Arabidopsis thaliana: one gene and its partners. The main gene of each other region encodes a partner of the protein of the gene in region 3 in a complex. Each region holds a gene or a part of one and is shown on either strand. Other genes may lie near its edges. The genes, in order: SGA2, AT1G21610, AT4G32820 and AT1G77310.

Region 1 (3,775 bases), on a different chromosome or scaffold from region 3:
TTACGAAATCCAAAATAATAGGTAATATAATTCTTATTCGTTATTGTCAAGTATAGGAATATATTATGTATTATTAGGTATTTAAAAACAACAATCTGTTTATTATAAAATATCGTATTTATTCAAAACATATAGGGCTTACTGGGCTTAGCCGAACACGGCTTTTATAATGTTATTGAGTTTAGTAATTAGATCTGTATTAATAAAAGTTTGAATAAAATATTTTTTAATATTTTAAAAGATATTTTCTTTTAACAAAACAAACATTTTTTTTTTTTCAAAGTAATCGAAATGGAGCCGTTTTTAACTATCTTTCGGTTTACCACAGAGTAAAATCGTTAGGCGAGAAATTGTAATGTGTACTACTTTTTTTTTTTTTTTTTTTTTGGTGAATAAATGCGGACTCATATTTTTGGCAGAACAACTGTGAAACGGTCCTAAAAAAATCACGGACTCATGTTTTTTTGGTGAAAGAATTATGGTTGATGATGATGATAATCATCATCATCAATGCTAACTATGACCATTTAACGGCACTTTTTTCAACAAATGATGAAGATCAAATGTCGCTTTGTACCTTGAGAAAATCTAGGGAAGTTATTCTACACCTATTACCAAATTCCAACCATCAGAACTCAGAATCTTGTTTGGCAACTGTTGGCTTTGCTTCGATTTAAAAAACCTTTGCCCAAAACATAAACATACAAAAATGTCAAGAATCACTTCCCTAAAGCCTCTAGAATTAAGTACAACAAACAGCATATAATGCTTTTGAAAGACAGAAAAGCAAAGCGCAACATCTGTGGAGACAATAGTTCTCAATTCTCATCCACTTTTCTTCAACTAGACTTGGTATAAGGATCATGATTCCTCAGGTTTTGGTTCTACTGACTGATCAGGTAAAACCTGAGCTTCACCATTGACATTAGGTTGTTGTTCATCAGATTGTTCAGGAGGAGCGGCAGTAGCAGCAGTCTGCTCTTCTTCTGGATGAAAATCTATAGGAAATTTAGTAACTCTAGGTTTGTCGGAAAGTATGTTCCTCTGAACTTTATCAATCAAAACCTTAGTTGGAGGCTCTTCCTTGAGTTGCTCATCCTCATAATCATTGTTCACGTAATATCCAACTCTCAAGAACTCTTGACCCATGTAAGAACATGTCAACAATAGCACAGTAACACCGATGATGTCTTCCTCCTGAATCTTTGATGGATCCGGAGGATCAGCCTGTAACAGTAGTAATAGAGAGTTAGACCAAGACTTTGTTGGTGCTTGGAAGAGGTAGTAGTGCATATGTTACCTGAAATACAAAGCGGTAGTTGCCAACATTAACAGGCCCTACAAGCACACTCTCTAGAAGTTGATCATAAGTCTCATCTTCTGCTGAGCCTACATAGATAAGCTTCCATTCCAAATCTGTACCACAAGCAAAAGCACGGGTCTATCTAAGTTATCCTCACCCTATAACAATGTTAACCAAGAACTTGTGCATAGATAAATCCAACTAATAGACAACAAGACTCTAGATTATCAATTAGAAAACAAACCATTAGAGCATGACTCTGACAAAGCAATTAGGTAACAATATGTTCCAATTACAATCAGCAGCAACAAATTGGTGTTGAAAACAATCCATAAGAATCAGCAGAGACTAAAACCTAAATAAAGTCGAGATGAATTACAATTCAGGGGAAGGAGAAAGAGGAGATTTTTACCGTCTTTGAGAGAATTCAAACACTCGTAAGAAATCTCGAACTGAAAAGGGCTAACAAAAGGAGCAGGATTATGCAATACAGCGACGTTGGTGATTTTGATTGCACTCATTATCTCTAATCAACAACCAAGTCGGAGAAAAACCCTAGGTTTCAATAAACTTCATCCAAACTCGGGAGAGAGAGAGACCCAGATGAAAAAGTTTCTCCCTTTTCAAAAAATTCGAAAGCAGATAATTCAAGAGAAGAGAGAAGAAGGAAGAGCTAGGGTTTTTTTTCCCCAGGAGAGAATTAATCAAAGAAGAAGCTTCAGAGTTTTTTTTTTTTTTTTTTTTTGATTAAGAAGACGATGAAAATGTTTTCAATTTTGGGGATGGCTTTCTTATAACCGGTTGTCGTTGGAATGGTGACCGGCTACTACCGGTTAAGTTGAATTGGCGGGAGGAATACTTTAACTCACGAAATGCAGCAGGGAAATTTGCTAAATATTTGATAATTTTAGTGTCCAACACATAAATACGAAAAAAATATAGAATTCAATCGATTAGTGACACAAATAAGAGATTACCAATCATATCCTATATACTTTTTTTTTTTTCTATCTTTCAATATTTTGTTACCAGTGTTACCATTTGTGTTTACGACATCAAAAAAGAAAAAGTGACGCACATAGATAATATATACAGATGGGTTAAATATTCACATAGTTCTAGGTAGAAATATTTACACATTCTACCTACAGATTAAAAACCACAAAAAATATTTTGTGAGTTAGGTTCCTATTTAAACACCCTTGCAACTTTGCAAGTGCTTGATAGCAAAAAAAAAAAAAAAAAAAAAAGTCTAAACGAACCAAAAGCAGATAGGAAGCGTGTTAATGTTGAGAAGTGATGTTCATTTTTCTGGTTTGAGCATGAAACATCTCTGCGATATCTGTAGCCGTACTACATTCTTCAGGATTTCTATCTGTCACTTTACTGATAAATCTCGGAAACCTAACAGAGATGCCTCGCGATGGATGGACGAGACCTAAACTGGCACTGTGAACAGGCGAGACTGTGAAATCAGCACCTCTGATTTCCCAAACTACCTCTGCGGAAAACCACATGTCAGGTGTCTCCCCTGTTCTGTAGTAAGGCGGCTTTTTCGCAAGGATCTTATCCTCCGAGTAGAATTCTTTCATCTGCAAGATAAGCAAAATAAGAAAGTAGAATCAAGCTTGAAATGGTTCTCACGTGACAATTAGGAGTCCAAGTATAGACCAAACCCAACGTATTTACTACCCCATCTGTTTCATCATTAAACAACAACGTTAGAGTTGAGCTTTTCATTACCTCGATGTAAAAGGCATCAGAAAAACCAGACATGACACGGCAGACACTCTGGAATTCTTCAGTCTCAGGGTTGAAGCAGGCCATAAGGAATGGACTATACCTACACACAAAATATATAAAAAACATCAGAATTCATCAAGATGCATTTGAGAAATTACCAGTAAACTTATGATTACAATTCTGCTTTTCAGAAAAAAAAAAAGAGAAAGTTGGAAAATATGTTTTTACTACCATCCTGCTTTTCTCCCATTGCCATACCAAGCACCAATAGGAACTAAATCCAATGTATCGCCCAATCCATCTACATAATCTCGCTTAACCTGAGCCAGAAAAGAAAAGCATTATTTAATCCATTTCCATCACATTATGTTTTAGTAAGATAATTTACAGCAAAGAGACCTTGAGCCATGAATCAGAGCGCTTTGTGGGGCAGTATCCAGCATTTACATCTAAAGACTTGACCATGATTCCTTCACAAGATGACTGAAATGCTTCTTCAAGAAAAGCATTTATCCTACTCAATGTGTCATGATTATTCAGAGACGCTTCTTCTGCTCCCACCTATAAAAATCAAACAATGATCAGTTCAATGAAAATACCAAAACACTTAGATACAGAAGAAGGCTATAGCCTATAACTTCTAGGTGAGAAACTACCGTAGCACTTACAGTTATTTCCTTAGCATACTCAAGATAACCTGGCCTAGTCTCAGGGAAGACCTCCTTTAGA
Region 2 (7,355 bases), on a different chromosome or scaffold from region 3:
TTGGAGCCGTTCATGTTTCTTGCGATCATCAAGAAGTAATCGGGATCTGATGTCAGCAATGACGCCATCGTTTGAAGCTTTCTTTGGTCTAACTTCGAGATCATCTCTTCAAACGGAGCCGCAACATGATCTTCGTTATTAGTCATTACGGACATCCATTGCAATTTGCAAACGCATCTCCAGTTCTTGAGGAGTTAATGCGGCCAAGAATGAGTAATTAGTTAAAGGCGACGGAGATGGTGTGAATCTCGGAGGAGGAAACGCGACGGAGATGCAACGTGGATGAGGAAGAGCAACCGCCGGATACTCTTCTGAGATGGGTTCTCTTGCGGCGGCAAAACGGAGCTGGTGTGCCATCGTAAATTGTGGAGAATGAGAGAGTGTTGAGAATCTGTGAAATAATGAGCCATATTTATACTGTTTTACAAGTAATAATAATATTAATTAAAATTGATTATTCATATTGTGTCAAAAGGATTAATGTAGTCATTTTGATGTATTTCATCAATTTTACATTATCGTCCGAAATCAAATTTTCAACTACGTTACCCAAAATTCAGTACTAAAACCTGCTCTGTTTTTTTTACTCAAAAGTAAAGAGTTGCCCGTAAAATCATAACTTTATACATTAGAGTTTTGAAAAAGGACACGTAAATAGAGTAACTAACTTAATAAGAGCCAAACTGGAATACAGACAACTTTATAAACCATGCTTTGTAGCTAAAAAAACCAAGCATCGGCATCGCCAGGACTAATGCCGTGCCACCTCAAAATACAAGGAAGGAAGAGGCCAGAGGTTATTGTCTCCGGCGTTTCTAAGAGCTCCTTTGTCAATCGTGATGTCAACTTGGCAAGTTCAGGTCCGGGGTTGTTCGTGGGATGTTCAGATTCTGAGGAGCTGGGATTACACGTGTCTGTGGATGTTCGGGCTTCTTCAGGGCAAGAACGACTTGTTTCTCAGCCATTACAGCCTCGTTCTTTCTCTTGACCACTCTTGTTTCCTCTGTAGGATTGCAAGAGCTTGAGATTCCCTTTAGCTTCTCAGGCTGCTGCTGATTTGATCTGTCAACCATAGTTTGACTAGTGACCACGGAAGTGCTGGTTGCATTTGGATCAACAATCAATTTTTTTTCCCCACTGTGTTGTCTCTGAACCACTAATTCGGTGTTGGGCTGAGCAGTACAGTCTGTTCTTGGTACCAACTGCTTCATACTCTTCTTCATCTTTGTTTGATCCTTTAACAAAGCAGAATCTAATCAAGCAAAGCAAATTGCGAAAATTTTAATGCAAAGAGGTAAAGGGCTGAGAAAATTCTTTAACTACCATCTCTTTCGCAAGGTTTCCATACAATGCTTTTCGTCTCTCCTTTGCCCGGAAAATTGCATGTTTGATCCCACGATAATCCATCAATCTATTTGGCCAGAGTTCAGCCAACTGGAGCATGAATAATTCCAAAACAATATTCATCAAGCTCTAACAAACCACCTTGAGCTTTTGGCTAGGTCTAATTGGTGATTTAAGACATGAGATAAGCTTGGAACAAAAAAAACCAGAATACCAAAAATAATCGGGAATGGAGAAGGGCTTACATTGACATATAGCTTTTTTGTTTGTGGACCTTGATCTTCATCCAATCCCTAATATACCAAAAAACAGGAACAAAACCGTTTTGACTCTAATTCTATGTCTAGAATTGGCATGGCAGATTATAAAGGTAAATGATAATTACGTCGATAAATATGTCATATAGGTCACACAATTTATCCTCCAATGCCGCATCCATGACAAACTTCTTCAAAGATGGCTTTTCTACTGAGTCCTGAAAATCGTCTGATGTTGCACCTTCTGGTTTGATTGCCTATGGAACATAAAATGATAGTGCAAGAAATATCATAAATGTCACAGGTGCCTCAACATATTAATAGGAGGAAAATACGCTACAAAGGCAGATTGACCCACAGGGAACATCGAAAACAAAAGAATGAAGAGCTTGATCTACGGAAAACCATTATCAGAGAGAACTCCAGATTTCATAAAAGTTAATGACACTTCCAAGAATGTAATAAGATAGAAAAGCCATGGATGAAAGAAATGCCTATCAAGCAACTTAAGATTAGAACAGAGAGAGAGAGAGAGAACCTGTGATTCCATCAAAGAAACTTTGGCCTTTATCATATCAAGAACTTCATTGTTGATTTGCTTGAACCTAGTATCCTTTTCTCGGGTTGCAGAATCTCCCATATCAATCATGATTTTCAAGTTCCTCTGCAAAATAAGCATTACAAAGAGTAAGAAACCATATTTTGTTTGCTTGTACCTGAAACAGAAGAGTTTTTCACTGGAACATGAATGTCCTGAAGAAGACTAACTATTTAAACACCTTGACGAAAGTCCTAACAAGTCTGCTTTAGTAACAGAAAGACTAGGATACAGGAGACAGAAAATTTTACCTTAAGAGACCTAAGCTGGATTAGGTGACCAACAATGCTCATAAGACGGTTGATTAACTCTGTTGAATGTTTTCCCTGGCTTGCCTGCTGCCACAAAAGGCATATTAGTTTTTTCTCATACCGTTTCAAGTTTCAAAAAAATGAGAAGAACAAATGGAAAAGCTCTAGTACCGCAATCCTAGCAACTTTAGCAAGTTTCAATTTAACATCCCTGGGCAATCTTCTCTTCACTGCCTGGGATGAGGTATCAGCTTCTTGATTTTCAGTGATAGCAGGAGGCCTTGCTGCTTATAAATCATAAATTCTTGTAAGTTGAAAATCACCAAATGCTATTCTAGTTGGTCACACTTGAAAAATATTAAAACTCACATTCCACAACCACCTTCTCCAGTTCCCTTATGGCTTTCTCGAGGATTGAGGTTTTAGACTTCACATTAGAACCATCTTTTTTCTGAGTAGAGACAGGTTATTGCAGAATTATAAAGCAAGACTGATGTAAACTTTGTGGTAAGAAAAATGCATGGAAGCAAAGATTGACCAGAAAAATATCACAGAACCGAGATGAAAACTGGAGAAACAAAACTACGACCTTAGAATGCAACCAACTTACTGAGTGTATTTTATGTAATTGTAGACACAGTTGGAATGTACTTACAGACGCTTGACTAGATTGTCTGCTTCCCGTTACATTTGCCAGCTGATGCATACCATTGTTTTCTTTCTGACGGACTACTGTTACCTCTGCAAAGACATTGGGGGGAGATTTTCCTAGCAGGGACGTAGATTGTTGGTGTAAGCTTTTGTTGCTGTATTTCTGATGAAGGGCACTAGAGGATCCAGTTTCCCTTGACTTGTGACTTGTATCATTCCTAGACTGATGATTTGCTCTATCAGAATGCTTCACATCATCCAGAGGTACTGAAGTATTTGCATCTTGCGCTCCAGAAGGCAAAGGTGACTCCTGTGTTTTCCAGGACCCAGGAGCAGTTGATTGATCCTGGACTTCCCCATTCGTATAATCAGTTATCAGACTCAAACTCCGACATAAATTAGTATGATTTGCAATAAAAGATGTTACCTTTTTCCTAGCTGTTATAGACAACTTGGTGTGTTTATCGGATACGTCAACTGCATCACGACAGGGTTTTGCTGAATCTTTTCGTCGCCGTTTTTTGGGTTGCTGGTTAGATGTTGTTGAAGGTTCCCTATTGTGAAAATGAATCAGGGATTAGATAACTTGTAAATGAAATATAGCATGATTAGGCAAAATGAGAAAAACTCTATCCTATCGAAAGTGCAAAACCTACATCTATATGAACGTTTTTTAACCAGAAAAGTTGAAAAATGGACTTTACCCATACCAAACACCCTACAGACATTAGTTAAGGCAGTAGTAGCAAGACTGCCAACCATATTTTACCATTTGGAGAGACTACACATATCCAAATAGGAAGAAAAACTGAAAAGCAAGGTGATTTCATATGTTTATTTCAAAAACTTACGACATGCCTATTCTAAACATGATCTGAGTGATTGAAAAGTGACAAAGCCACCAAAGAGTTAAGAGACATCAGATAATGAAAAGAGGAAGATAACTCACATCCGCTCCAACTTGCCTCTATTTACATAAAATCCATCATGTTTAACTGTTGAATTATCAACTTCGAAATACTCATCCTGCAAGGAGTAGAGTAAAACAGAGATATGATTTCTCAGCTATCAAAAATATTTGAAAGATATCAACACCAACCAGTTCAGCATCATCTATAAATGAATCTTCAGTGTCATACTCATCATCATCAGGAGCACCGTCTAACTCTTCCCCATCACTGCTATCGTTCCCCTGAGATTTATTCTCTGAAGTAAGCATACACTTTTCAGAGATGTGTGAATGCAACAGTGCTATTGCATGGTATGCAAAAATGTTGTGAATGTGAAAAATCAAACATATAACAACCTACCAAGAAAAGTGTTTTAACAAAGAGTAGCATACCTTATAGAGCCTCTCTATCTTCTCAATAACAGCGTTGAAACGGTTAGAATGAGGTTGTTCATTCGTTTCAATCTCTACTGGATGCCCCTACATTATATACGAAAATACAGCTGTTGAAAATGATTTTAACCACCCATATTGTATGCATAAGAAGAATATATTGTGAGGAAGCTGCAAGCATATTATACCATCTTAAATGAAGATCCACTATTATATGCTTCATTCTCTTGCACTAATAGATATTAATAAAACTTTCTCTATATTCTTCACTATTACAGCTATAGTTTCCATTGCAACTATGTGAACCAAATTCCTTTCCAGATCAAGTATAATTGATGGCATATTCACATTGATAACGATGAAGTTAGCCTAATGTAGCTAGCAATTAGAAATGAAGCCAAAGATCATATATCAGGTTGTAGACTTTCTCCGTTTAAGGAGTTTGCTTATTGAACTCTAGTCACAGACGTCAGAGAGCAATAACAACAGAATTCCTCCTATACCATATCGATTTCAAGCATTTTCCCCAACAAATAAATCTGAAAATCTGCGAATTTAGTAAAGCTCCTTTATAAACCCTAACAAAGATTACAACTCCCCGAAACAAGACAAATGCTTACTCCAATAACAGCAAACGAAACCCACAAATGCCTACAAGTATATATATCCGATTACCAATTCCTACAACATCAAACTCACCGGTGCAATTCGAAACTCAAGGTTAGGGTTAGCATTAGGAGGCGGGTCGGGAACCGAAGCCGATAAACCATTGACCTTACCAGCATCCCTCATAAGCTTCTTCCACGAAACATACGTCGTATCCCCTGGCCGAAGCTCCACCTTGAGTAATTTCCGATCACCGGCCGTTAAAACCTTCGGCGACGCTCTCAACAATTCGCCGCCAATAGAACCACCACTCATCTCATTAACTTCCGACATTAATAATTCGGGTCGGGTCGGGTCGGATCAGTTTGATCCACTATATACTAACCCCTGGGTTCGAGACGGATTGATCTAAACAGCAATCAAGAGAGTGGAATCGATGAATCGATGTAGAGAAACTGAAACTGAGAAGAAAAAGTTGCGCGGGATACCAAAAATGACGCTCTTAATTATTTCCTAATTTATTTTTGTTGTTTTATTCACTAAAAAGGATTATTATTATATTATATAGTTTTTCTTTTTTTTTTAATTGTATTTTTCCTCGAAATATCTAATCCACAGATAGATAGAACACTCTGTGAGCTTTATCCGCTTCCAATGGCGTCTTCCGCCGCTTCTCCTTCCTTATCTCTACTCTCATTCACCTCGAAGCCACCTTATCCCTCCGGCTCTCAGCGGCTATTTGCGTCATTCAGAACGGACGGTCTTTTCGCGCCTTTAACACTGAAATCCCGACGCGGCCGTGGTATAGTCGTTAAAGTAGATGACGTCGATGCTGATGGAGGTGGAGCGGACGAGTATGATATGGATGATGAGGAGGTAGAGGAAGTTGACAACAAGAAGGACTATGATGTCGAGTATGACCCCTTGGCCGCCGCGATAGCCGCTGCAGGCGGTGGTGGTGATGGAGATATCGCTTTTGTTCAGAGTAAGAGTTTTATATCGACACAAGGATGGGATTCGGATATGGTGGTTGATTATCGGATAAACGAAGATGAGTTTCATAAACTCAGCTTAATGGACTGTGATTTCTTTATCAGAAAACCTCCTGATCCAGATAATGATGTTTATGATTTCAGAGAGGTGTGTGAATTCCCAGTGACTCTAATTGCTCATTTCTTCGATTTCTCTAGAGTCTGTGCTCATTCTTCAATTGTAAATTGTTTTGTGTGGGTGGCTGCAGATGTATGTTACTCCTCCGGATACAGATATTTACTCAATTCCGAGAGTTCTTGCACCGATGCCTCAAAAGGTCAGTCATTTATCCTTATCGGTTGCTGTTTTTGTAATGCCTATGCGTTGTTCTGAGACTTCCTTTTGTTCAGCAAGATAATTGCTTTTCATATTGTGCTTAATTGCTAATTGAACCCATATACCTCCACTCTACCTAGTAATTGTATCACTTAAGAAATCTTATCTGCACAGAGCTCTACCTAGTAATTGTATAACCCATATACCTTCACTCTACCTAGTAATTGTATAACTTAAGAAATCTTATCTACACAGAGCTGTACACGTTTGGTATTGTTTGGAACTTCTACTCACACTGATAGACTGGAATTTTGAACATATAATCTCAAAAAGTGCCGTAAATGGTCAGCATTTAGTATGATTAGAGAGTCAGAATGTAGCAGCTGGGTGTTTGTTTAGTCACTTTCCTTTCATTCTGTGGCCAGTTTTGTACTCTTTGCTGCTTCATGATTGCGTATGTTTTACATTGTAAGGTTTATTTATAAGCAAGTTGTTACAATGAGTGAGTGGTGCTAACAAGGGCTTGTTTAATGATGTTACAAGTACAGTATATTCGATGTGCAATGAGTGACTATGGATGTTACAATGTCACTGAACCACCTATTGATGCCCCCAGAGATCCACTGTACAAATCTGAGAGGGAGATATCCAAGGTACATATTGGACCATGTACATTGATGTTAAATCCATTAGGTCTTTGATGCAGGGAGTCTTGAGCAACATGTATTAACAAGGATGTACTTAGTTTTGATTTGACAACATTTTTGGAAACCACACCAGGAAATATGTTTTTTAAGCATTAAGGATGAGATCAACACGAAACTACTTAGTTTAGTAGTTACAGTTTCTGATACAAATTGTCTTCATCGTGTTTATTTTTTATGCAGGTTTTCTTGACAAAACATTACCGGAACAGAAGGACAAACGATCCAGAATTTGTGCTAGATCTTGAAGAGATATATGTTATTGATTCCAAGACAAAGTCAATCACCAGAGCC
Region 3 (4,943 bases):
GGTTATTAGCTTTTCAAATATTACTTGAGAACCATAACATATATGTCAGAAGAAGTTTCAGACTTACAGAGTTTCCTGACTGGTCAAGGGAGTTCTTCACTTGAGAGATACAGAGAAGAATTGCCTTGACTTCCTCCGCCACCAAGTGATCCCAACTCTCACTTGAATTTTTGGACGAGGTTTTAGGTGTCACAACAGATTCTCCCGTACCAGTTGAATCTAAGAGAACTTGCAACTTTCTTCTATGACAGTTCATATAAACCTCTACATCTATAGGCTTACTCTTCTGGCATGCTTTTATTAAAACCTCAAGTGCCGATAACTCAACAGAGGAGATCCCTTCTTCCGTTTTTACAGCGTATGCAGGCAAGATGTCTTTATCTGGAAACAAAAGAGGTGCCAGTAAATTTACACACTCCGAATAAAATTCTTTCTCCATCATCTCAGGTATGTTATTTTCCAACAGGAAATCAATCTTAAGCAGATTAATTTCATGAATGATTCTATTGATGGTCAGCTCTCGAACTCTTCTGCAATGAGGTCGCTGAATTAAGACAGGAGCTTCTCCGATACCTTCCCTGCCCAACAATGACAAACACCTGAGATATTCTTCAAGTGCTTTAGCTTTATTATCCTCCAAAATTGATAACCGTGCACTCAGCCAGAAATATCGAGCCCAGAAAGATCTTGTATCATAATCTAACACCTCCTTAGCAGCCTCATCACCTTGAAAACTCTTAAATGAGGAGTCAGAAAACATTTTCCCTCGAGAACTAGGTGTAGAGTCGATAGCATAATCAAGGGAAACAGATTCAATTATCTTAGAGAGATGGTATGTTACTTCTACCATGCATGATGGGGCATCAGGGATATCTGATCGTTTAGAGTCAAAGTCATGGTACAGCTCGGCGAGAAAAAGACTGCATTCAGGTTTCCGATCTCGGCCCCAATGTCTTGTAAGCTTTTCTAACTCCAAAATTTTCAAGGCAGTCTCACGACTCAATACATGTTCACATTTATTAGCAATATATTCTAGAAGCAAGTGACCCATATGATACGCACCATAATTTTCTAAATTTTCCTTCACAAAATTAGAAACGACGGCGTGTTCAGAAATTGGATCAGATTCTTCATTGCAGAAAGAACCAGCAGACTCTCTGTCAAAACCCCTTTTAAGGACAAATTTCTCAAGATATTGAAGGATGTCACTGCTAGGATCCTTACTGTTATCAAATTCTAACCCTTCCTTCTCAGGTTTCTGGTTCCGAAGCCGTTCAAGACGAGTACTCCGCCTCTCTTGGGGGTGTTCTTCAGAAAACACAGGCTCTTTTTCTTTTACAGAACCACCACTTTCTCTCTCGATGTTGCAATCCTTAACAGACACATTACTTGAATCTGAATCCACACAATGATCCTTCTTTTTCATACCTTGCATAACAGCCTCTGTACTAAGGGATAATTCAATGGTTATCGGTATATCAGCTGATATGCCCACAGTTTCACGCGAAGGATGCACTATCCCAATTAGAATATTTAGCAGTGCCACCCATGAAGCTTCAGGAAGTTTAAATTGCACTCTTTTTCTTAACTTCTTGGAGGTAGCATCCATGTCCTGATTCATGTCAGACACCTTTCTTTTGCCAAGAAATTTGAGCCGAACGTGCTGAGGTTCAAGTTTATCTATACCCTTGGGAGCAAAAGGAGCTGAATCTGTGTCTTCAATACAATGTTTAACATGCAAAGCACGAGAATGTGATGGCCAATGCCTTAAAATCAGATTTGCAACTGAAAGACAGGAAACTTCATCACCTACGGCAATGAGAACTTCTAGAAGTTTCTCCATGCAGTTCCCTGCACATTAGCCAATTCAATTTTCAAGAGGGAGGGAAGGGTAAATGCAATAGTCCATACCACATATGAGTAATGTGAACCCAAAAACAGAGAGAGAAAGAGGAGAACAGTGCGTACAGTTATTGGGGCTGCAGAGAAGTCCCTGTTCAAATGCCCATCGTGAAATACTCAGTAATCCCATAGAACATGATAGGGTTCCAAGATGGTTCCAGAGCACAGAATCTTTTGCATCTAAGTCTATAGCTTGAAGATAACAGTTTAGAGCATTCTCGTAGTGACTTGAACCAAGCTCAAGAAAGACAGTGGCAAGATTCTTCAGAGCCAAAAATCTGCAAACAGAAATTATTTATAGGCGAGACCACAGCACTAATGAACTAAAAATATATGAACTAGACAAAATCAATTAGTAGACATGTAACCAATAACTAGATGAATTAAAACGATGGAGCTTGACCTGAGATGATGGAGATGATTGTCGTTTGCAATAGTCTCCACCTGGACATAATGTCAATAAGAAGGTCATTCATCATCCAAAGAAATCATCAGAGTAAGTGAAGAAGATGATTTTACTTTGGAGTTGGTTATAATAGGATCTTTAAGGATAGATTCTAGCAGCTCCCGAGCCTTGTCATAGTCTTTAGCTTGCAGCTTGAGAAGACCATCATGATATGTTTGTGACAGATGAAACTCCTGAAGAGGGCAATTTAAAAAAAAAAACAGTTCAATATATTTTTCAACAATGAGCTAATCTAACTTCTTTATACCAAATTGAGAAGAAAGAAGCCCTGAATCAGAAGAAAACCTGAGCTTCTTTGCTAGGAGCTAAAGGTTCCCACTTCTCTGTGGACTCCGTATCATTGATCGCTGCAATCGAAAACTGAAAAAAAAAAAAGCGAAACAAATGCAAAAAAAATCAAAAACTAACCGATTAAAAGGGGGATCAAAATTAAATCTTTGCCCGAAATTATCATTACCATCTTGATACTCGAAGCTGGTAATGGTTGGGGTTTTCGAGTTCTTGGCGCGAAATTGGTCAATCTTCTTCTTCTTCTAACTAGGGTTGATGATGCACGTTAAACACATTACTAGAGTTTTAGATTTCACAGAATTCTTTTCTTTGTTTGGTCTGTTCGTCCTCTACTGTGTTTTTCTTTTGTTTTGGCTATTTTGCCGTCTGTTAAAAAATTGGGGTTTTCCGATAATGTATTGTATATGCCTGAATTATGGAAATATCACTAAAAACACTTTTTTGCACTTTTGTATATATTGCAATTAAGATTTAATTTTTCTATTTTGAAGACTTTTTGTTAAAAGAGAGATTTGCTAACTCAAAATTACCGGAGTTAATAAGTTCGTTCTCATCAGATTAGCAAAACATTCATCTTTAAAGAAATCTGTTTATCTCACGTAAAATTCTACTAATTGGCAGCAGCACACTACTTTAATGGGCCTATTACTATTTCAATATGCACTGAAAACTTCATTGGACTGTCCAATAACATTATAACATTATTAAAACTAAACTACATTTGTATTTGGGTTACAATTTTATAAAGAGTAAGACTCAAGATACTAATTGGGCTGCAGACAACTTTAAAAGCCTTACTACAAAAATCAAAACCATTCTTAATTAACTAACAACCAGGTAAAAATCTCAGTACAATATTTACACTAAAAATAGGTGCCACCCACTATGCAAAAGTTTAGGGCCACGAACAAAAAAACCTGTAAATTGTTATGTCTTCACAATATGTGTTTTAATACACATGAATTTTAGCTACGGTTAATGTAAATTTTGTAGTTAAATTAAGGCTAAACAATCTCAAATATAAATTGGTCAGGTCCACAGACAACAGCCTGGCAAGTGGCAAGCACTAAAAATTCGACCGTTATTTTTTGCCCCTTTTTTTAATATTTCGAAATTGTATCTTTTAGTTTTATTTTAAAGCTTTTTAGCCCGCTCCTCCTCCGCTCCACCTTTAATTTTTTCACCAATTGGATTTGGATCTGTCAAAAATATTGGCCTCTTTCTCTCTTTCTCTCTTGCTCTCTTTCTTTGTTGGGTTGATCTCTTCTTCCATGGCGATCCCTACGGAGACACAACACCAGGAGAAGGTACTCTTTCACCATTCCATGATTCCTTCGTGTCGTTTTTAGCCAAATCTTTTTTCCGTTTCTTTCGATTTTTCTTTGTTCTTCCTTTTCTTTTGCACGATTTTAGGGTTTGAAACTTTTGTGAATTTGAACAATCGATTTATGTTTGGAATAGAAAGAGAATCAATTAGGGCAGATGTTCAAAAATTGCTCAATTTCAAAGCAGATTCGTTTCTAGCGATGATCTGAAAATTGGTTTTTATCAGGAGGCTTCAGATGCTTCTGCAGCAGCTGCACAAAAGAGATGGACTTTAAGCGATTTCGACATCGGTAAGCCTCTTGGCAGAGGCAAATTCGGTCACGTCTATCTCGCCAGAGAAAAACGGGTCAGTATATAACAATCTATCATCTTCCACCATCTTTCAAATTTTTGTTGTTAAAATCCAAACTTAAGAAGCATTTGTTTTAGATCCTTGATTGTTTTTCCTTCCACCAATCTCACACATACATGCAAAATGTGAAACAGAGCAATCACGTTGTCGCTCTAAAGGTTCTTTTCAAGAGCCAGCTTCAACAATCCCAAGTTGAACATCAGCTCAGAAGAGAAGTTGAGATTCAGTCTCATCTTCGTCACCCCAACATACTCCGGCTTTATGGCTATTTCTATGATCAAGTAACTTTTCATTTTTCTCCTTTTTTATTCACAGATAATTGTTATCCAATCTACTCTTGAGCATGATTAAGTTCTTCATTTGTTGCAGAAAAGAGTTTATTTGATACTTGAGTATGCTGCTAGAGGCGAACTTTACAAGGATCTTCAGAAATGCAAATACTTCAGCGAAAGACGAGCTGCTACTGTTAGTCATTCCTTCCACATTTTGACCTCTCAAACTGATTTCTTGTATGAAAACTGATATCCTTTCTATGTTCATTGTGCCAGTATGTTGCCTCATTGGCGAGGGCTCTCATCTATTGCCATGGCAAGCATGTGATACACA
Region 4 (7,444 bases), on a different chromosome or scaffold from region 3:
TAACGAAATAAGCAATTGCAGGGATATATAAGAAAGAACATTTCGCACATGATCGGGAGAAGCGATGACATGGAAATCAGAGGGACCACTCCGAGATGGGTCGCAGCAGAGGAAGATTTCGGCACCGTTAAGCTTGAAAGCATCGAGAAGTGTGTCGAAGACTTCAGGAGGCACCAGATTCCGAGACATAAAAACATTTGCCCCTTTGAACAGTTGCGTCGTCTTCATCGCCGCCGGAAAACCTAACCACGCACTTCTCGACTTTGTAAGAGCTTCACGGGGTTATCGGAGAAAATTGAAACCCTAGAATCGTCGGAAGAAGATGGATATTAGAACCTAGTAGCATTCGCATAGCACGAGATTCGTCAAGCTCTGGATTTGAGGTCAGTGATTCGGCGTGGTAACTGGTAAGAAGAGAACGCGGGAATTTTCGGTGCGCTTTTTTTTTGGTCGTCCAGTCCAGTGAGCTTGATTTCAGATACATACTAATTCCTTTTTAAGGCTTTTTATTCTTTTATTATGACCCCTTATTGGGCCGCCGACAAATTTAGACCCATTTAGAAATAGGCTACATGTGTTGGTTTATTCCGTCAAAAAAAACAGATTGAAAGAATTGGAGCTTCTCTTAACATCTTTAATTTGTAACGAGGAGAGGGACTTCGTCTTCTACGTAAGAAACGACTAGAAAATCAATACTAGGCGCAAAAATTAGAAGCGAAACTATAGCTACGAAAAACAAAGGCAAGGCTAGAGCCAGACTTTGAGAAAAAAAATCTAAGCTGTAGTACCTAACTTGGCAGGTTCAGGTCTGGAGGAGTCTGTGTCTTGGCCTTTGGATGTACCTGTGCCTGTTTATGTGCCTTGGACTGTGGATGTACCTGTACCTGTTTATGTGTCTTGGATTTTAGATGTGTCTGCCGCTTCAGGGCCAGAACGAGGGGTTTCTCTGCGGGCAGGTGAGTTTCTTCTAGAGCTGGTTCTGTCTTTCTTCTGACTTTCTTTCCTTCTGCTGCAGGATTGCTTAAGCTCGAAGTTCGCTTTAATTTCTCATGTTGCTGCTTTGACCTTTCAAAGGACGAGTCTGCTGCAGGTTGACAGTCCACTAAGGACGTGGTGGTTGCAGTTAGGACAACACTTGCTTTAACTTCAACACCTGAAGTCTTGTCGGGATAAGTAATACCCTCAGATTTAGGGACCAATTGTGTCTGTTTCTTCTTTGTTATCTTCGTTTGATCCTAAAATAAAATAAAAGTTGAGGAATGATAAACATGAGCGAAATGTGCGAGTTCATGATAATATTCGATGACAAATGGATATTTATCACATCCAAAAGTTAGCACGTTAGAAGCAAACAAACAGCTATGGCGTAAAAAAGTTAAGAATTTCTCAAATACCATCTCCTTCCCAATGTTTCCTTCCAATGCTCTCCGCCTTTCCTTTTCCCGGCAAATGGCACGCCTGATCTCATGATTGTCAACTAAACTATTGGGCCACAGTTGAGCTAGCTGGAGCAAGAATAAATCCAAAAGAAAATCAATCAGGAAGGTTTGGTAAACAATCTTGAATATTAGGCAAGGTCTAGTCTAATGTTTTTGAATGGATCTGGAAAGCAAATAGACAAAGAATGGCAAAATATAAAGGTTGGAGAGGAACTTACATCTGAATAAAGCTTTCTGATTTGTGAACCTGAATGTTCATCCATTCCCTAGTATTACCAAAAACAGAGCAAAAACTATGTTGACACTTACAATTCTGCATCTAACAAGTTGGAACACCTTTTTATGTAAGGTTATGGAAAATATTAATTACCTCAACAAACACGTCATATAGATCACACAATTTTTCCTCCAGCGCCACATCCATGACAAACTTCTTCACAGGTGACTTTCCAAGAGATCCAACATCCTGAAAATCGTCTGATGTTCCAGCTTCTTGATTTGTTTCCTGTGAAACAATTTATGTCAGCGCAAGGAATATTTCAAAATATCAGATGTTTATCAATGTCTCAATAAAAGGGAGATATAAGTGCTTATCCAAGGCCAATCATAATCAGAGAGAACTCTGAGTTTCGTGCATCATCGAAAGAAGATGTTTAAATCCAACAATAAAGACAAGAACAAAAGTATCTATGCAACATAGCAGATACGAAATACTTTTGAAAATCAGATCAGAGAAACTAGTAGAGTAGAAGGGAGAGAACCTGGGATTCCACAAGTGGAACTTGTGTTTTTAACATCTCAGTTATTTCACTCTTGATCCGCTGAAATCTAGTATCTTTTTCTCGATTTGCAGTGACGATCGAATCAATCATGATTTTCAAGTTCCTCTGTACAATAACAATTACTAAACCGTAAGAGCTTGAACTCCTTCACTAACAAATACAGATCTTGTTAGCTCTTTCTGGAATGGAAGAGCTTTCACCTTAAATCGAAAAAATCTAAATACTTTAATGCCTCAGTAAGAATCACAACTCCATTACGATAACAAGTCTCGGTATGCAGGAGATAGAGATGAATACCTTAAGTGATCTAATCTGTATTAGATGACCGACAATGCCCATGAGACGATTGATTAACTCTCCTGATATTTCACCTTGGCTCGCATACTTCAAGAAAAGAAAATTGCTACTCTTCTTCATACATCTGAAAGATTATTAAAATTTATATACATATTTAGAAACAGAAGAGTTTGATTACCGCGATTCTAGCAACTTTAGCAAGATGCAATTTTACATCTCCTGGCAATCCCCTCTTCACTGCTTGGGAAGAGATATCGGCATCTTGATTCTCAGTGGCAGCAGGAGGCCTTGCTGCAATAAATTGGATATGATAGTTTACTAAATGGTATTTAGCTTCTCATGCATGTAGAGAACAACGAAACAGTTGAAACTCACATTCAGCGACCAACTTCTCCAAATTCCTGATGGCTTTCTCAAGTGTCGAGTATTTAGGCCGGCCATTTGAACCGCTTTTTTTCTAAATAGAGAAAGGTAAAGAGCAATCTAATGTAAATACCATGGGGGCTCCATTCCAAAAATAAAAAATTGAGTACAGATTGTAAGATATGCAAGAGTAAAGCATGGAAGCAAATATTAGCCAGAAAGATCAACCCAGAGTCGAGATGAAAACTAATTACAGATAGAAGCCATCTAATGCGTGAACTCTCCTAATTAAATGCTAATATCTTTACAATTACAGATCATTTCTACAGTCTCAAAGATTAGAGAAGCATCACTCTTGGATGTAGAAGATGAAAGCCCCAAATACATGCTTACTTCAAATTCCAAACTAACTAAAATGAGGAATCTAATAAACTTAAGATAGCTGGAAAGTACTTACAGATATTTGAATAGATGTTTTGCTTTCCGTTGCAATGTCCAGGTCAGGCATGCCATTGTTAACTTGCTGACGAACTACTGCTGATTTTGCCGAAACATTTGGCCGAGATTTTCCTGGAGGGGAATTAGATTGTTCATGAACACTTTTGCTGCTGCACTTCGGATGAAGGGGGCCAGAAGATCCAGCTGCCTTTGACTTCGGACTCGTGGCATTCATTGGCTGGTGATTCGCTTTATCAGTATGCTTCACATTTTCCAAAACTAAGGAATCATTGCCATTTTGCGCTTTCAAAGGGGAAAACGAATCTTGCACCGTCTTTGAATCATTGGAAATTTTCTTCGAAGAGGGCCCAGGAGAAGCAGATTGATCCTGGACTTTCACATTCAAATAATCAACTGTCTGGAATGGAACTCTAAAATAGATTCAAAAAGTTATTTGCAAGTAATGTACCTTTCCCCCAGCCGTCTTAGCCATCTTGGCTCGTTTTCTGGATACATCAACAACATCGCCACAAGGTTTTGCTGACTCCTTCCTTCGCCTTTTCTTTGGTTGCTGCTGGTTCGATGTAGCTGAAGGTTCACTGTTGTAGGAAGGAAACACAATTTAGATAAACTGGTAAGAATGGTAATGGAAGATAACCTACTCATAAGGAAACAGGGAAACCTGAATCCTATTTATAATCAGAGACCACAACGATACAAAATATTCATTGCGTTTTGACCATAACCTAGATATGTTAGCAGAGAAGTAGCAATATTATCAAGAAAATTCTATCAAATATTTCTGCCCTGAGTAAACATTGCATAAACCTAATTAGAGGGAAGAGAACGGTGATGCCAAATATATGTTCACACACTTATGCTGCCCATAGCCTATTCTCCACAACATATCACCAAATGAAAACTGACAAACCTGCCATAGAGAAATGCGACAACATACAACAAAAAGAGGACAAAAAACTTACATTCGTTCTAACTTTCCTCTATTGACAAAAAATCCATCATGTTTAATTGGCGAATTATCAACTTCAAAATACTCATCCTACAATGGGAAAAAAGAAAGAAAGAAAGAAGGATGTCTCAGCTATCAAGATACACTTTGATCACATAAGAAAGCCATAGTCAGGATATCTACACTAACCAATTCAGCATCATCGATAAATGAATCTTCAGTGTCATAGTCATCATCGTCAGGAGCACCGTCTAACTCTTCCCCATCACTACCGTCTTTACCCTGAAATTTATTTTATGAAGTATACGCTAATCAGAAATCTGTTGCAAAACCAGTGCTAATGCATGGTATGAAAAATGTTCCGAATAAGAAATCAAACATTCATCTTACTTGTTCAGATAATCAATAGAAACAGTAGTAAGAAAAGGTACCATATAAAGTCTCTCAATCTTGGCTATAACAGAGTTAAGACGATTAGGATGAGGTTGATTCACCATTTCATTCTCTGTTTGTGCCCCCTGCATTCGATATATCGCTAAATCATTAGACAATGATCAGTATCCACATTGAAATCACTATACAGCTTTAGTTTTGTTTCATTTTCAAGAGTTAGTTTATTGAAACCCTAGCTCTAAACTCAATGTCAAGGAGAAATTTCCCAATTCAGCTCCCGGAATGATGATACAATACAAAAATTGGTCTAACAGAGACAGAGAAATGAATACATGAGAATATGCATGTAGGCAGCTAAGAACTCACCGGTGCAAGGCGAAACTCGAGGTTAGGGTTGGCATTAAGAAGCCGTTCGGGAGCCGAAACGAACAAGCCGCCGTTTTCTTTGCTAGCCTCATCCATAAGCTTCTTCCACGATACGAGCGTGGTCTCCTCTTTGAGGAGTTCAACTTTAAGTAATTTCCGATCACCGGCGGTCAATATCTCAGACGAGATTTTACACGATTCGTTGAAAGTTGGACCGTCATCGGTTGGGAGCTTTGGTTCGTCCTCCATTTAGTGAATTGGGTCGGGTCGGGTCAGAGTTAGACTCTGTAGAGACCCGAATAGGAGAGGACGTGACTCTGGGACAAGAATCAAAGGAGTGGGGAATTGTGATGAGGAGGAGAATCTGAGAGAGATTGGAACTGAGAGGACGATTTTTGTTACAACGTTGCGCGGGATATCCAGCAATGAGACGCTTCTTAAGCTTTTATTTATTTTCTTTTATTTTATTTTTTCTCCTCCTCGTAAACAGGTTTTAATTATTACTATTTATTTTTTTCTGTCTCTCGGAAAATGATTTTTGTTTTTTTAGTGCAAATTAAATGTAAACAAACATATTTAGGTTTCAATTTTTCAAAAAATTAAAATGACTAAATATGAGAGAATCCTAAGAATCACTTTTCAAGAGAAAAAAGTGTCTATTTTGTCTATAAAATAAATTAAAATTTGTTAGAGGTTAAATAATGTTTTTATTAAGCTTTTGGTTTCATAAAAGTGGATGTGGTAATATGTTTAATTAATTATGAAAATATCATGTGTCATTCTTTGTTTTGTCCGTTAATTAATGAAACATCAAGTAACGAGGAGTTGTTACATAAGTTATTCTAAGAAATTCGAAGAGACAACAATTTTATTTTGCTTGCCTTGCTTATGTATTTGCCTTAGAATTGTTGCTTTTTGCATTAATATTGTTCTTGAGGAAACTGCGTCGGAATAGGTCAATACCGAGAGACGGCATTACAGTAAGACTACATCAACTCCAAACTACAAGTCTGTTTTGTTGATCATACAAAAGCGAAACAATTAGTTTTAGTGTTCGTATGGTTTGTTCTCATATTTCCAAGATGCATCCAAAAGTGCGTTGAGAGAAGTGAGTGGGACATGGTTATGTGTACAAGTAGATTATAACTTGATTAGTTCAATTCCCGCATCTCATATTTTTGTTCTCAACTCCATTGTTTTTCTCTCTTTTTTTAGCAATGGAATGATGATCCATAGCTTATTGTCATATATCAAAGCATTCCTTGGTTTCCATATTATCAAAACTATGAATTAGGCACAGATTTTATGCATCATGTGTAGCTAGATGATAGCATAAGTTTTTCTCTTAGCTCTTAATTCTCCCTTGGATTATGATATCACCTCCATGGCTCCATATAGACAGACAGTAATGCAAACATCAAAATATAGTAATTATCAACAACTACAACACTATAAGCCTATATAACACCCTTGCAGTTCCACGCTTCCCAGGGATCATGGCGATACTCTTCTGCTCTCTCTTTTATTGTGATGCTTCTTTGATCTCTTATAAAGTCGACATAGTCTCCAACCTCTAAGTTCCGCCGCAACTGCTCATTCATCTTCAATATGGACGGTGTCCGACGACATATATGATATGGATGAGAAGATGAAGTGGATGAGGTGGACAACAAGAAGAAATACTGCGACTTCGTGTATGAATATCCTCCCCTTAGCTTCCACGTTTTTGGCTTCTAATGACAGGGATCATAGCAAGGGTTTGGTCACATTCAAACCGTGACTCAATATCGTTAACAAGACTCTGATTCGGATAAATGCTTGGCTCATCATCATCGCACTTATTTGCATCTTCAACGAGGAGAACACAAGTCAGTTAACCATCGTTGTCTGGAGCTATGAAACTTATTCCCGCTTGCTTGGTCGCGAAAGTCTCCGCCGATGTTATGATTGCGAATGAGTGGGGCTGTGTGAGTCTTATTGTAAAATAATAATACAACTAGCTAGGTTTGGTAGACTAAAGTTATTACATGAACTTTTATTCTGATATACACATACAATATATATTTCTTTTTTCTAATGATAAACCATTATGGAAGAATACTAGCGAGAATCTTATTAGAACGAACGACTAATCAAGTAATCATAGACTAAAGAAGCTAATTAAACGACTAATCATGTCTTTATGGACCACCTTTGGGACCATTTTGATTGAACACAACTCCCCAATAGATCTGAATATCTTGGAAATAAATTGGCAATGTATTTTTAGTAAAAGCTTGTGTGAATTTTCTCTACAAAAAAGTTCTAACTTTTATTGTTTTGACATATGTTTGGGTAAGATTTAAAAAACCTATGACTTTATCGAAAAATATAAATATTTTTTTGTTTGTCAATTA

The links.
Region 1: AT4G32820 (region 3) and SGA2 share a complex: the UniProt entries of both Arabidopsis thaliana proteins name them as parts of the HIRA complex.
Region 2: AT4G32820 (region 3) and AT1G21610 share a complex: the UniProt entries of both Arabidopsis thaliana proteins name them as parts of the HIRA complex.
Region 4: AT4G32820 (region 3) and AT1G77310 share a complex: the UniProt entries of both Arabidopsis thaliana proteins name them as parts of the HIRA complex.

What each region holds. Positions count from the first base shown.
Region 1 is NC_003070.9:24,890,635-24,894,409, reverse strand, and holds SGA2 (ASF1 like histone chaperone), read right to left. Parts: upstream 2,071-3,775; 5' UTR 1,825-2,070; coding exon 1,716-1,824; intron 1,417-1,715; coding exon 1,301-1,416; intron 1,228-1,300; coding exon 862-1,227; 3' UTR 534-861; downstream 1-533. Other genes in the region: LIG6 (DNA LIGASE 6), read right to left, coding at 2,587-2,895, 3,047-3,146, 3,278-3,366, 3,446-3,607, 3,715-3,775. UniProt on the Arabidopsis thaliana protein: Histone chaperone that facilitates histone deposition and histone exchange and removal during nucleosome assembly and disassembly.
Region 2 is NC_003070.9:7,572,131-7,579,485, reverse strand, and holds AT1G21610 (wound-responsive family protein), read right to left. Parts: upstream 5,543-7,355; 5' UTR 5,383-5,542; coding exon 5,143-5,382; intron 4,531-5,142; coding exon 4,444-4,530; intron 4,294-4,443; coding exon 4,201-4,293; intron 4,128-4,200; coding exon 4,051-4,127; intron 3,656-4,050; coding exon 3,529-3,655; intron 3,448-3,528; coding exon 3,106-3,447; intron 2,902-3,105; coding exon 2,820-2,901; intron 2,735-2,819; coding exon 2,622-2,734; intron 2,538-2,621; coding exon 2,451-2,537; intron 2,266-2,450; coding exon 2,140-2,265; coding exon of another isoform or gene 1,996-2,139; exon of another isoform or gene 1,859-1,995; coding exon 1,730-1,858; coding exon of another isoform or gene 1,688-1,729; exon of another isoform or gene 1,638-1,687; coding exon 1,590-1,637; exon of another isoform or gene 1,435-1,589; coding exon 1,321-1,434; intron 1,236-1,320; coding exon 843-1,235; 3' UTR 530-842; downstream 1-529. Other genes in the region: PUM20 (pumilio 20), read right to left, coding at 1-106, 150-357; PTAC6 (plastid transcriptionally active 6), read left to right, coding at 5,704-6,189, 6,290-6,358, 6,906-7,010, 7,245-7,355. UniProt on the Arabidopsis thaliana protein: May be required for replication-independent chromatin assembly.
Region 3 is NC_003075.7:15,838,627-15,843,569, forward strand, and holds the start of AT4G32820 (Tetratricopeptide repeat (TPR)-like superfamily protein), read right to left. Parts: upstream 3,018-4,943; 5' UTR 2,829-3,017; coding exon 2,826-2,828; intron 2,729-2,825; coding exon 2,654-2,728; intron 2,542-2,653; coding exon 2,422-2,541; intron 2,347-2,421; coding exon 2,306-2,346; intron 2,181-2,305; coding exon 1,969-2,180; intron 1,852-1,968; coding exon 68-1,851; intron 1-67. Other genes in the region: AUR1 (ataurora1), read left to right, coding at 3,931-3,966, 4,212-4,331, 4,472-4,618, 4,707-4,802, 4,886-4,943. UniProt on the Arabidopsis thaliana protein: May be required for replication-independent chromatin assembly.
Region 4 is NC_003070.9:29,049,524-29,056,967, reverse strand, and holds AT1G77310 (wound-responsive family protein), read right to left. Parts: upstream 5,471-7,444; 5' UTR 5,298-5,470; coding exon 5,049-5,297; intron 4,808-5,048; coding exon 4,721-4,807; intron 4,572-4,720; coding exon 4,479-4,571; intron 4,380-4,478; coding exon 4,303-4,379; intron 3,919-4,302; coding exon 3,789-3,918; intron 3,708-3,788; coding exon 3,339-3,707; intron 2,976-3,338; coding exon 2,894-2,975; intron 2,810-2,893; coding exon 2,697-2,809; intron 2,606-2,696; coding exon 2,519-2,605; intron 2,327-2,518; coding exon 2,201-2,326; intron 1,945-2,200; coding exon 1,810-1,944; intron 1,706-1,809; coding exon 1,658-1,705; intron 1,506-1,657; coding exon 1,395-1,505; intron 1,236-1,394; coding exon 789-1,235; 3' UTR 537-788; downstream 1-536. Other genes in the region: MEI1 (transcription coactivator), read right to left, coding at 49-228. UniProt on the Arabidopsis thaliana protein: May be required for replication-independent chromatin assembly.